2 linked regions of the Caenorhabditis elegans genome follow. The protein of the gene in region 2 interacts with the protein of the main gene of each other region in a pairwise test. Each region holds a gene or a part of one and is shown on either strand. Other genes may lie near its edges.

Region 1 (7,151 bases), 1.9 Mb from region 2:
GCTGCTAATACCCGCGCTGGTTGGTGACGGGGGGCCCCCCTAGATATTTATTCTCCGATGACCAGATTGCTAAGTGTCCCTTAAAGGATCATCTTGTTGTTATTTTCAATTCCCAAGTAAATCCTTCATCTATCCCCCCACAAACCATCTCGTCGTTCCAGTCTGAGATTTGAGCCAGATTCGCAAATTTTCCGCACATTATTTTGGCAATCCGTCTTCAATCTTTTCTCTCTTTTCTCCGCATTCCAATGCATTATTTCGGCCCCTGTTGGCCCCCATTCAAAACCGAAAATTCCCATCATTTGTCATTGACTCTTGTCCTGTCCGAAAATGTGTGTGTGTGTGTGTGTGTGTGTGTGTGTGTGTGCTACGAAGAAAACGATGGGGCTCTTCCAACAATTGTTGCCTACAATTGTCGGTTGTTTTTCCTCTGCTTTTTGTTTCTTTTTTTCTTCTTTTCTTCTTTTGCAAAATGGAGCATAGTCAATTACGTTTCTGGTTTGAAAAGGAAAATTCCAAAAAATTAAAATTTTAATATGAAAATCTGTATTTCTAAAATTACTTAATTGTGGAATTTAATACAATTTGGAGTCTCGTCAGTAAGAAATGTATTCAAACGCTCCTGTTGTTCTTTTTCTAAGTGTGGCAGTTTAATGTGTTGACTGAAATTTTAAAAATTCTAAAAATTCTAGGCCATATTGAACTACGATGGGTATTCTTTTTCGACAAGCAGGTATATTATAAGGCATTTTCTTTTATAATATAATTCAACCAAGTATCAAAAAATCAAAATTTAAATTAAAAACGGTATATAAGTATATAAGTTTGTAGGAGACCCTAAAAAAATTAATTTCAAATTAAAACTTTCATCATATTTCCAGAGCTTGAAAAAAGTTATTCTAGATTTGTAGGAAAAAGAGGTCTGAAAAATATATAACAACTTAACTTTAGCACTTTTGGGGGTAACATTAAATCCAGAAGTATCAATATATTTTCAATAAAGGCCTTACAATCCTAACTAAAACTTTCCCCATTTGCGTGATTTTCCCCATTTGGAAATGCTTACAGGCGCAAATAAAATTTGCCTGAAACCTGATTTTGCACTTTCAGAGGAAATGTGGGGTTTCCTATTGGTACTTTGGCTGGAAGTAATTATATGCCAAAGCCAGGCATCTGAATTATTTCCATTTTCCCATTGAGCCATTCGAAAGTGCACCCGTCTTGCTGAAAAATTCAAAGGCATCCTGACTCATAAGTACATCTGCCCAACTACTGCAGTTATTTTCTCGCTTGACGCCTTCTAACAAAATCCTGCTTACCTCGCCAACTTTTTATGACTATATTCATGTGTTTGCTAACTCCATAAAATAGTATTATTGAATAGGCAATGCTGCCCGCGTTATGCTACTTATTATTCACATCTCACCTTTTTCATTCTTCTTTTTTTGTCATACTTGATACGGCTGTGTGCTAATCTGAAAAAAAAAAGATTTTTGATACTAACTATAAGTTTAATATTTTTCATAACTTTCGAATCAATAAAAAAACTTTCCGGAACCCGTTCATGACACGCTTTGACCTACCAACATCCAACAGCCTAACTGACTTCTGAACAGATTGACATTGACCGATATATCCTAGAAAAATGTGGCGTACGTCGTCAGTGCGCCTTCTTTTTCTTTTTTCCGCTCACTAATGTTGATTTTATCAGGTGTAGGTGTAGTGAGGAGGTAGAATAGACGACGTCAATTACGAGTTGCGTATCCATCCCCTATTCATTTCATTTTCCCACTTGTTCTCCTCGGTTTTTTGCTATGGATTCGCAATTTTTCTCACCAAACCACTTTACAGGGTGTATTACATCGGACATTTGAAATGTCGGAGGACTATGTGGTCGTCAAATACGATTATTTAGCACAAGAGGAACAGGAGTTGACGATAAAAAAGAACGAACGGTTAAAGCTGTTAGATGATAGCAAAAACTGGTGGAAAGTGAGTTTTTATTGACGGAAAACATACTGAAACTAATGGTTAAATGTGAAAACAGTTTGATCCACTTTTCGAGAACTCTAAAACACTGTCGCATGTTCAATTCCCTGCTATATTGAAATTTTAATGTTTTAAGCATAATTAGAACATTAAAATAAGAGAAATTTATTTTAATCAACGACTTTTTGGGGAAATCTACATATTAGTAAGTTCTCACCACTTTTTGACTCGAAATAAAAATGTTCCAAAATTTTTTGAACAGTTTTCTATAATATTTGGTTATTTTAGCATCATATATAAATTTACAATTTTCTCTTTTCATTAAACATCCAGAAAAATTTATAATTTTTTCAAAATTTTCAGTCAACGTTTTGGTCGACCATATTTTGCACATTGACTGCACATTAAAATATTTCAAAAAACAATTCTGAAGAGTTTCATTATGATTGTTGGTCATTTTAGCAACATTTAAACAAAGCTTGCACTGACATTGCTCCACATCTCAAAAAAAAATCCTGGTACCAATTAGCAAAACTACTAATCAAAAAGTGTTCTACAAACCTTAATTTTTTTAAAAATAAATTGAGCCACTTAACGTTGTTTTCCCTCGGATCAAAACCGTTTTCTTCAGGTAATGAACGATTCAAACAGTGTTGGATTTGTGCCTTCAAACTACGTGCGAAAAGAATCAATTGTGGACAAAGCAAAAGGAACAATCAAGGGCTTAGCGCGAGGTCGCAACCGATCCTCAGATCCGGAGCCGGTGAGTGTTTCGTTTTGTTTTTTTTTGTTACAAAAACCCATCTCACTTCCAAAAAAAGCGCCAAACTGCCGCCACAACTAAACGAAACATAATCGACTGTAATGTCGCACTCTCAGTTTTTTTTTGTTTCCAAATGCCAAAACCAGTCTTCACGTGGAAGATTTGTATTTACACAAGCGCTTCCAGCCGAAAGCAACAGTTTGAATTAACTTCTAATTAGAATTGCCAACAGATACTTTATTTCTTTTAATTTTAAGGTACATTAAAACTAGTTTTGATATACTAACTTTCTTCCCAGAACATTCCAGTTTTGTTTCCTTATCATACAGCAAACAAAATCGATTTTTTGCTCCGTTTGTAATGCCATAAAAGTTTCTAGAATGATTTGTCATATTGGGGCAGGAATATTTCTCGTTGTCGGTTTTTTTATTGCAATTTTTATGAAACTAACTAATAGCATTTACAAATTTAAAGTTAATTATTTTAAATATTGTAGCTTCCATTAAAAATTGATATAATAGCCCAAATTCTAGTAAAAAATGATTTTGTCATCACCACAATAACTAATTGAGTGTTTTGCGCGTAAGATACTGCGCATCGTCTGAACTAACAAACTCTTCTTCCCCTGTTTTCCCAGGATTATTGATTGCTCGAGACCGTCCAAAAAGACCTCGCCGCGCGTTCTCCCGTTCTCCTCGCCGTTTTGACAGGTTCGTCTGTTTTTTGCGTTTTCCTTCCTCCACATAAAATACTTTTTTTGCTTTTCTTCTTCTCAATATCAAAACGGCACGCTCAATTTTTCGAATCATATTTTCGAATCGAAATATGCTGAACTTTGTGAGGCAAAAACTCCGTAATAAATGACCGAAACCGTTAATATTTGCATGTGTGTGCAAGCGGCGCATACTATCATTGCCCTGTTATCACACACACACACATACATACGGCTCTCCCGCGACAATGTATTCGGCGCAAATGAGACAGTCTCGGTATACAAGAGCGCGCGAAATTTCAACGCTTCCTATGTTTTTCCGTCTTGACGATACGTTTCAATCGCCTGAGGGCCCCTCCCGCTCTTCACCCCCTAACCAAAATCGTGTTTCGATGTGTGGGGCGCTGCATGCACATTGCCTACGAGCTCAACCGCTCACTTTGTTTGCATTTCTGACTGAAGGTAGCGGGTTGAGTCTGTGCTGCTGCTACTGGCCACGTAGCGCCTCCAAAAAAAAACTTGGAATTTCCGGCTTCATCAAATTTGTTTTTTTTTTCGCCGTTTAAGATCACGTTTCTAATTAAACTGTGAGCTTTCTAGGCGGGAAGAGCACTTCCTTATCGATTTTTCTCGTGCCATAAGACCTCCTTGCAATAAACATCTGCGTCGTCCCTCTAACTTGCCGAACTTAATACTTGTGTTAGAGCCCTACATTTTTTTTAAATAAATTTATTTGAAGTGAAAATTTTATTTTTGAATTTTGAGGCTTTTTGATTAGGATAGTATATTTTCTAATGTAAGCCAAAAAAAAAAGAGATTTCACATAACGATACACTATTTCTTTTGTGTTAGAACTCTACATTTTTTATAAAGTCAATTTATTTAAAGTGAAAATTTTATTTTTTTGGAAATTTTGGAAAATTGAAATTTTTTAGACTCCAGATGAACAAATTTCGTAATGAGAAAAATGGTTTTAAAATTTCTATGGCGCTTCAAAATTTTGAAAAAAAGCTCAATTTAAGCGAAAATCTCTAATTTTAGTACTTTTTTTGTTGTTGAAATTGATTTTTCAGGAGGAGCGATTAAACGGCATCGCGCGTCTAGCGTTCAGCTTGAATAACAACTGTGCGGTGACACCATCATCCAATAAGGTTTGACAGGCTTTTCAATCATAACTTATTTTAATCCGCCAACGTTTTTTTCTTCAGATTCCTATGATGAGCTCGAAAACGAAAGCTGTGGTGAAATTCACTTACGAGCCAAGACTTGAAGATGAGCTCGGTCTCACAAAAGGAGATTTCGTTTATGTCGTCGAGAAAAGCACAGATGGGTGGTGGAAGGGAGAAGCACCGAATGGAGGAGTCGGATGGTTCCCGTCAAACTATGTGGAGGAAGTTGAAGCTTCGACAAACGGAAATCAGGGAAGCATTGAGAACCGAAACCCAGCAGCTGCAGCAGTTCCAGCGCCCATAATGATGCAAGCACCACCGCCGAAGCTCCAGGCGTCACGGTCTTCATTTGAAGTAGGATTTACCCCAATGCAATTTAATAATCATTTTCATAGATTCAGGTCGTCGTTGCATTGTACTCGTTCGACGCATCATCATCTGAAGAACTATCGTTCAAAAAAGGAGAACGGCTCGAAATCGTGGATCATCCAGAACATGACCCCGATTGGTGGATGGCGCGCAACGCCAGTGGAACCACAGGGCTTGTGCCAAGAAATTACATTGAGGTAGTGCATTTAATCGCCTAAAAATTCCGAGAAAAATTGCCCGAATCTGAAACAATTAGAACATTTCAGGTGGTCAACGACTCATCATCCAGCAAAGCTTCACATCAAGATTTCGCACCGCAATATTCAGGAAACGGAGAAATTCCGATGGAGCAACAGCCGTGGTATTTTGGACGCATCTCGAGGGAACGTGCTGAAGATCTTCTACTACATGGTCGTGAGGGAGAGTTTCTGGTCAGAGATTCGGAGAGCAATGTGAGCATTTTTTGGAATTTTTCAAACGGTGTCTTTCCAAATAGTCGCAAGCTTTCAACCATTCCTAGCAACTTTAGAAATGCCAATTTCAGAAGTTGCAAAAGTTGGTTGAGAAGTTGTGGGATACTAAAGTTGTTCAAACAGTTGCCAAAGTTGGTGAAGTATAGTCACAAAGTTGCTAATATTGGTTTTAAAACTAAAATCGACGAATAAGGAGATTCAAGTTGTTTAAGAAGTTGTTAAATTTAGTTTTATTTTAAACTTAGTGCAAAAAAAATCCAAAAGAATGAAGGCTGGCAAGAGGCTACAATTAGTTTAAAAATGGCAGCAAATGACCGAGATACTACGAAATTAATTACCAAAATCAAGGACCGCAAAGGAAAAAAAAACGTTCTAGCGTTTGATTTGAACATTTTCACTCCAAACTATATATTACAGTTAATACGCTTTCATTCTGATCAGAATACAATCTAAATTAAAATCAATCTTCATTGACAGTATCCCATTTGAATATTGCTAGGAAGACAATACCAAAAATGGATATTTTCAACCATTTAATATTAAATTCAATTTTTTTCAGCCTGGAGACTTGTCGATCTCAATGCGCGGAATCGAACGCAACAAGCATTTCAAAGTGCAAAACGTGGATGGTCTCCTGAAAATTGGAAACCGAACGTTTGTGGACATGAATGCTCTTATCAATCACTACACAACCAGCCCAATTTTCTCGTCGCCAACGGAGAAGCTGTTTTTGACCGGTCCTCTTCCCAAGTAAACTACTTGTTCAAAATTTCAATGCAATATTCTTATAAGCTCATTCTTAACAATTGTTGTTTTCTTGTCTTCTTTGCAGCAATCCATTTTTTTTCTGGACAAAGCAAGTGAAAATCTCTTTCGTCATTTCTATCACTAGCCCTGTGTTTAGATATGTTTACTGATTTGCCATCCGCCGTTTTTGATAAATTGAACGGTTGATCACGGTTTCAGATATATTTCTCATTTTTTCTTTGGTTCTTTTTCTTTTCATTCAAGTTTGTAATTTTATCAAATAATTGTCCTTAACTCACACTTTCCATTCATCTCTTCTTCAATTGTCTTTTGCTCCACTTCACAACGCTGCGTTGTTTCAGAATATTATTTTCAATTCCAATTGCCATATGTGATAACTGTAAATGAATTTTCAAGTGGGCATATTTCAGATTTTTTTAATTGTTACAATTTTTCAGGTTTCAATTTTTGTACAACGCGATTTCCGGATGTGAAATGAAACATGACATTATTGAAGGTTTTTATAAATATTTTTTAGAGTATCCGAAATTCTTCACATTTTTGTTGTTAAAATTTTAAATTTATCATAAATTCAAAATTGGAGTTTTTTTGCCAATTATAATTTAAAAAATTGACCAAAAAAGCTTTTAACAATTTTTTACTTTGTAGCGGTCTGAAACTGTGGAAATGCTTTACATTTCTTAAATTTGCCAAAATTTTAATTAACACATTTTGAAATAAAACTTTTAAACAAATTTACCAACATTTTTCTAGCGGTTTAAATTTTTGAAAACAAGGTTAATAACTTTTATTTGATTGTGGTTTTAATTGTAAACTGGCAATTCATCTCAAATTATTTTGTGGTAGCAAACTTGTAAATTTGCAAACAAGCTAATTTGTTAATCGGCAAAAAAAATTGAAAATTAATA
Region 2 (6,538 bases):
AATAAGAAATATGAAAAAAGTGGCATTATAGCACTATGAAACATTTGTAAGCTCCTGAAACTTTCAATCACTATTATGGTGAAAAATATAGTTCCAGAATACTCACAGGGATTATTCACATATTCAACTTGTTATGTGACTTGATTTTTTAAGTTTTGCTAAAATATGTTGTGCGTGTTCTTGAAAACCTTTAAAATTATCAATAATCAGCCTGACAACATTATCAGCCTCTGGAGTAACTTTTGTGTCCTTTAGCACAGTTGCTCTCAACAAAGTTCAGATATACCTAAATTGTGGTGGTGGGAGTTGAGTTGTGCTGCTGCAATTACTAGAATAACTATTTCTAGAATAAAATATATAGTCTAAACATAATCATTCAAATGAACTATTTATCATTTCTAATTTTTGAGGTAAACTACCTTATACCATGTACCTGGTCAGGAATAATAATAAATAATTTTTCAAAAGAAAATAGTACAATTTCCTTGAACAAAATTTGACTATTTTGAAAACTTTTCTGATTCTATAAGTAAATTCATCTCTCTTTTATTAAACATGATCAATTGTTTCAAACGTCATGAGACAAAATTTAAGATTTTGACCTTATGGCCGATTTTTAAATTGGAAACCACATGAAAACAGAGTTTCAATAGTTCCCACCTACAGACACTTGAAAAAGAAATAGGGAAATTTGGGCAAAGCTGGTTAACTGTAGATTTCCGTTCGAACGACACAAATGCAAGAAACCGAATGAAAAGAAGACAAAGTGAAGACAAAAAACTTACATAAATAATTGAAGTGTGTCGTCTGATTGGGAACGCTCAACAACAAGAAAAAAGAGATAGTCCAAATTGTGCATTGCGAGAAGAGATAAAGAGGGGGAAGATGTGAAATAATGAAGGGGCTTGAATTTTTACTCGTGATCGATTCCAGAAAACATTACACAAATTACTAAGGTGTGACTTTTTTGTTGGGAAACGGTAAGTTGGGCTCAAAGTAGATAGTTAGAAATGACTTGAGATGGAGAGAAAAGAAAACAGTTTCAAAGTAAGTACGACTTGAGATTTGAGAAGAACAAGAAATACACGTCGTGTATTGAGAATACAATCATCATAATTATGAGTTGCTAGCTTCGGCGATGCTCTTCTTCGCCGCAACGATTAAGTAGTACAGTGAAGCAAGCGGTTTGGCGCATCGGAGGAATGGATGCGTAAGGAGTTGGCTTGCCGACCATCGATTTTCAACTTGTACTTCCAACGCAGAGTCGACAAAGTCCTGGAAATTGGGACAGAATGGGAGAAATTGATACTGTACTGAAAGTAAAGTAAAACTGCGGTAGCAGTTGAGTCATCTTTTGTACATTTGTGACTAACTGTTAACAAATATTTTTTTTATCAAATCTTCTGTTTCGAAAGTTCTCGAGTTCTCTTACCTTGAACAACAAAGTCATGGAATCTCTTCCAGGGAAGTCGGGTTTGCCATTTGTAGCAATGAGATAGATAGCCTGAAAAAAAATATTTTTAAGATCAATATTGATTGATGAGAAATTTTAAGCTAAAATTATAAAACCTAAGTATAGCTGAAACAACTTTAACTTTAACTTTCTCGTCATTTTACAGCAACTTCTCAACAACGTCTCAATCTTCTCAACTTAAGCGATTTTTCAACAAAGTTTACCCAGCTTTCGGTAGTTCTCAATGCACATCTGTATCTTGCGGTGGGGGTCATCCCTAACTTTTACCAACTTTACCCAACTATTGCAACTTTTGAGATTGGTTGCTAAAGTTAGCTGAGAAGTTACGGAAAAATGTAAAGTTTCTGCTAAATTTTTTCTTAGGCGCCTGTTCAATAACATGACCTCAACCTGAACCAAATTATTTTCTGATCGTTATGGGCAAAACTGGGGTTGCTATTCTTACTAGGGAATAGTGGCCAATTAGATTTTTTTGAAATTCATTAAGCAACAAATTTATCGCTGTAACAACAAATTTCCATTTCTCATTCACACTCTGCGAGCACAAGTGTTATTGAAAGGAATCATATATTCAGATTCATGTTTTTTTTTTCAATTATCAAGCGTTGTCTTCTTAAATTCAAAAAAGCAAATATTTCATACCCTGAGTGGATTTTCATTCAAATATGGCGGTTCTCCTTCGACCATCTCAATCGCCATGATTCCCAAGGACCACACATCAACCTTGGGTCCGTATTGTTTGCGGGTCACCACTTCCGGCGCCATCTGCAATTGTCAAACATTAATTTCCTATTCGCTTTTTCAATTTCCATCACTCACCCAGTATGGAGTTCCGACCATTGTCGTGCGTTTTCTTTGCTCCGGCGAGAGCTGAGCACAGAATCCAAAGTCGGCTGAAATTCACAGAAGTAGGTTGCAAAAGCATTAAAAATTATAATCTTACTCAATTTCACCGAACCATCCATTCCCAAAAGAATATTGTCAGATTTAATATCTCTGTGAATGACGTGGCGGCTGTGGAGGAATTCAAGCGCTTGAAGAACTTCTCTGCAAACAGCTGCAATAATTCCATCCTCCATCTGGCACTCCGTGACAACATCAGTCAATGATCCACCGGCAAGATACTCCATCACTACCCATAATTCATCGCACACCAAATACGAATCCAAATAATTTACAATATTTGCATGCTTATTCTCACGCATCACCAAAATCTCATTAATGATCAATTCCTTCTTTGGTTGATCCTTCAGGTTCATCTGCTTGATAGCCACCTCCGCTTCGGTACTAATTTCAATAGCGGTGTACACAGAACCAGATGCACCTGAGCCGATTTTATCAACTTTTCTATATTTTCGATCTGGATTTCCGATAGACACAATGGTACGGAGCTTAGTCAGCACTTCAGCGTCAGTCATCTTTTTCTTAGCTTTTTGACCTCTGGCCTGTACACCAAATTGTCCTTTTGAAAGGTCTGGAATTTTTTCTTCCTCCTCTTTCGGTTTTGTGTACTGAAAATATACTTATATGTTATAGAGAACTTGGGAAAAATTCGGTACTTGTGTATTACATGCCCTCATTTTGAAATTGAATTAAATTTTCATTCATTTCTCCATATAATTTAAACGTGATATACATTTTTCCTCTCCAGGCTTAGAAAGATTATTTCCTAAACCTAGAAATAAAAAATGTGGTACACGTTTTTATTGTTTTTAACTTAAAAAAATACTCTAAAACTAAGGGCATGTAATACACAAGTACCAAAAATTCTACTCACAATACTCAACGTCCTTGCCGGCCTATCAGGGATAGCGGGAGGAACAATATCAGCAGGAGTTTCACCATGGGGGACCGGTGGCGGTGCATAACTCTGAAGCAATCAATATGAACTTCAAGATTATTCTTCCCACTTACCGGTGGCATACTCGATCTATTCTCATTTACACTAAACGTCGTCGGAGGAACTCCTTGCTTGCTGTTATACCCCGCACTACTTGTACTGGTTGTCATTGGATTCATCTTTCTTGGATCCTGAATTTTATTGCCATGATACGGCAGGGATGATGTGCTATATGGTTGCGGTTTCAGTCCGTATGATGGCGTCCGAGAAGGTGCGTCATCTATAAACACTGTAGAAGAATGAGCTCCATTAGCAAGACTGACTACGGGTTACTTACTCATATCGTACTGCAACCACTTCTGGCCGCTGCTTTCGCCTTGTGTGTAGTATTTGAGCGCGTCCAACACTGCCTGAGGATTCTGTTGCTGCTCTTGTTTTGAGATCTGTGAGTCTGTGAGAAGACGTGCCCATGCTTCAGGCATTCCCTGAAAATTTATATTGTTGATAAGGAGCAAAAGTTTCTGAGAAAAGTTTATAAATAAGATTCTACAGTAGTTTCTCAAGTCTATTCGACAAAACAGACCTCTTCATACTAAAAAAATTGGGACAATTTCATAGGTCTTTAGAAGAAACTATCTTTGGTTGAATACATGTTCGTGATAATTGGCTTCACTTAAATTTTTCTCGTATGGATTTGTTTTCTTAAAACGTCTCAAAAACGCAAGCTTTATTAACACTAACCATGGTTTCAAGAATAACACGTTTTTAGAAGATAATGCACTGAATTAACGGTTGCAAAATATTATTATAAATTGAGATTTGTTTATAATGATTTTTTGACTGAGGGAAAAAGTAAAAGTAGTAGTTTTTAGTTTTTAGCTTACTATTAGCATTCACGTTAATCTGGTACGATTAGCGGTTGCGACCGGTGTCAGAATGACAGCTGTATCACTCGTTCATCATTGGAAAATAATCTTGCAAGTAACGCAAGAGTGGGAAAACTGCTACAAAAACTTTTTGAAAAAATACTGACCGTAAATTCGCCGGTTTTTGGGTCATATCCGACATGAATTGTGTGTTCGAAATTGCTCGGTCGAGAGATCACTGGTTTTTCTGACGCTTCCTTTTTGTCTTTGTTCTCTGAAAAAAACAGGAAAATCAGGAATGGTTACAAGAGCAATATATTACTTTTCATGAACGGGTTAGGCATCGTCTTCTTTTTCTTGGTTGCTTCTGGCTCTTTGGGCAATGGCTTCAATCCGACGACCTGAAAAATTGAGTTAGTCAAGACATGGAGAATGGAAAAAAGAGAAATAGAGATGGGTGGGAGAGGGGCAAGCAACACATGCATCATCTGATTTGGAAGAAGAACCTTCGAAAGATTGTCGCCCATCTTTGGGGAGGAGTGGAGGGACGAGTTAATTACCTGATTCTCCCTCGTTGCCGAGCTGCTGAAACGAATTGGTGGTGCTGGTGGTTTCTCATCATACGATGAGAAAGCTTTCATTTTGGCAAGCCTGGAAAATTGAAACTGTTGGAAAAAGAAGACACAAGCATCAAACCAAAAAAGAATGAAGGAATACAGTATGCAATGTAAAACTGAAAAAGGAAAACAATAATTAGGAGGAATTTTCGTTGTCAAGTGAAATCGAAACTGTTGGAAAAATAGGAAAATTGGAACCAATATTCATGTTTTGTTGAGTCAAAAAAACATAGAAAAACGATCACAATAAAGAATCAGAAAAAGAAAGAACAAATTGCTGACCGCCCCCTTATAAAAAAATTGTTGGACTATGACTAACAAAAGAGGAAATTGATAGGAGCGGGCAGGGAAATGGATGCACAACACATGGTGTAAAGAGGACATTGACCCAGTGCTATGAGTAATCTTGGACCGAAAAAGCATGGCCCTTTCGCCTTTCGAGGTCGTCTATTGGATTGCTTTTCTATATTTTTTTAGTAATCTCAGGGTAGGAGTTATGGAAAATGTGGGACCCAGAATTTGACCTTTTCTTCGGAGTTCTCATTTGCATTATTGCTTCAAAGAGCCTATCTGCAACCAACGTCTGACGTGAGTTTGACCCGAAAAAGATAGATGGCTTTTTGGTTTTCAAAACGAAAGATTTCAAAGTTTAGGAGATGATGGATGGTGAATAAACTGGGCCAGAGGAAGAAGAAGGAATATTTTTCAAAGGAGAAAAAGAAGAGACGGGAATCTTTTTTAAAGTGTGATGATATGAGTCATTCATGTTTCACTTCATTTTATCGCCCACCACCGTGTGTTCGCGTACTTGTTTCCCGCTTGTCATCCAAGTGGCAATCAGCCGGATAATGTTCTAGAAGTGTGAAGCCGAAAAGAGTAGAAACTGTGAAACGAGGTTCGGAGTGAGTGACAATGTTGAGAACTAGTTTAGGAAATTAGAAAGTGAAAGCCGAAAAAAAGCTGAAAAGTTTGCATTCATACTAACGGTGAATGATGATACTTTTGGTCTAATACTATTCTCGATTAAAGGAGGGGTATCGGTTTTGGGTTTTTACTTGTAAGCACTCAAAATGTTCATAAAGGAACAAATTTAATAATGAGACCTCATAAAAATCATAGGGGGTTGATTGTGGCCATTTTCAATTACGTATGGGCTTTAAATGTACATTCATTAACAAAATAATGTAAGAAAATCACCAATATGCAATAAAAACATTCTAATCTTCAAAATAAATTTTCCAACAGCTGAGACATGAAAAAATAGCCAATTTTAATTAAAATTAGGTGTTTTTAAAATTTCAGACCGCCATAAAAAATTGTTGAACATTTTTTGAGAATCCTCATTACATAATCTGTTAATTTGGGAATATTTACAATCTAGACCTGCAAAAACCCAAAGGAAAATCACAAAACCGAAAGAAAAAAAAAAAAGAAAAATGAGAAACAAAATCTAGGTATCTAAGATTTTATTACACTGTCGATAAGAAATCCAATCTCATTTTGCACAATGTAGAAAAAAAACAGTTCGAAACCTGGACTGTTTGCTAGAAATGGAGAATGGCACTGTGTTTGTTGAACGCGCGCCATTTTCTAGTGTTATCAATTGAATGGAGGAAACAGAGAAAGATAACTAGTACGGTGGGTCGCGGATGATGCGGCCAAGGCAATTGATAAAGAGCTGCGGAGGGGCAAAACGGACGGATGAGGGGAGGATGTCGTTGGAGATAAAATCAATCGATAG

What was found. The genes of interacting proteins can lie anywhere in the genome.
Region 1: the proteins of pak-1 (region 2) and nck-1 interact in a two-hybrid assay, tested with the Caenorhabditis elegans proteins (2 studies listed by BioGRID).

What each region holds. Positions count from the first base shown.
Region 1 is NC_003284.9:4,148,144-4,155,294, reverse strand, and holds nck-1 (NCK (Non-Catalytic region of tyrosine Kinase) adaptor protein family), read left to right. Parts: upstream 1-1,851; 5' UTR 1,852-1,875; coding exon 1,876-1,992; intron 1,993-2,620; coding exon 2,621-2,752; intron 2,753-4,537; coding exon 4,538-4,615; intron 4,616-4,672; coding exon 4,673-4,987; intron 4,988-5,028; coding exon 5,029-5,199; intron 5,200-5,268; coding exon 5,269-5,454; intron 5,455-6,034; coding exon 6,035-6,229; 3' UTR 6,230-6,642; downstream 6,643-7,151.
Region 2 is NC_003284.9:6,043,778-6,050,315, forward strand, and holds pak-1 (Serine/threonine-protein kinase pak-1), read right to left. Parts: upstream 4,828-6,538; 5' UTR 4,822-4,827; coding exon 4,741-4,821; intron 4,582-4,740; coding exon 4,503-4,581; intron 4,455-4,502; coding exon 4,348-4,454; intron 3,800-4,347; coding exon 3,652-3,799; intron 3,604-3,651; coding exon 3,389-3,603; intron 3,345-3,388; coding exon 3,252-3,344; exon of another isoform or gene 3,103-3,251; intron 2,986-3,102; coding exon 2,418-2,985; intron 2,368-2,417; coding exon 2,294-2,367; intron 2,240-2,293; coding exon 2,117-2,239; intron 1,505-2,116; coding exon 1,433-1,504; intron 1,276-1,432; coding exon 1,117-1,275; 3' UTR 532-1,116; downstream 1-531. UniProt on the Caenorhabditis elegans protein: Required for hypodermal cell fusion, together with cdc-42 and ced-10, leading to embryonic body elongation, which involves dramatic cytoskeletal reorganization.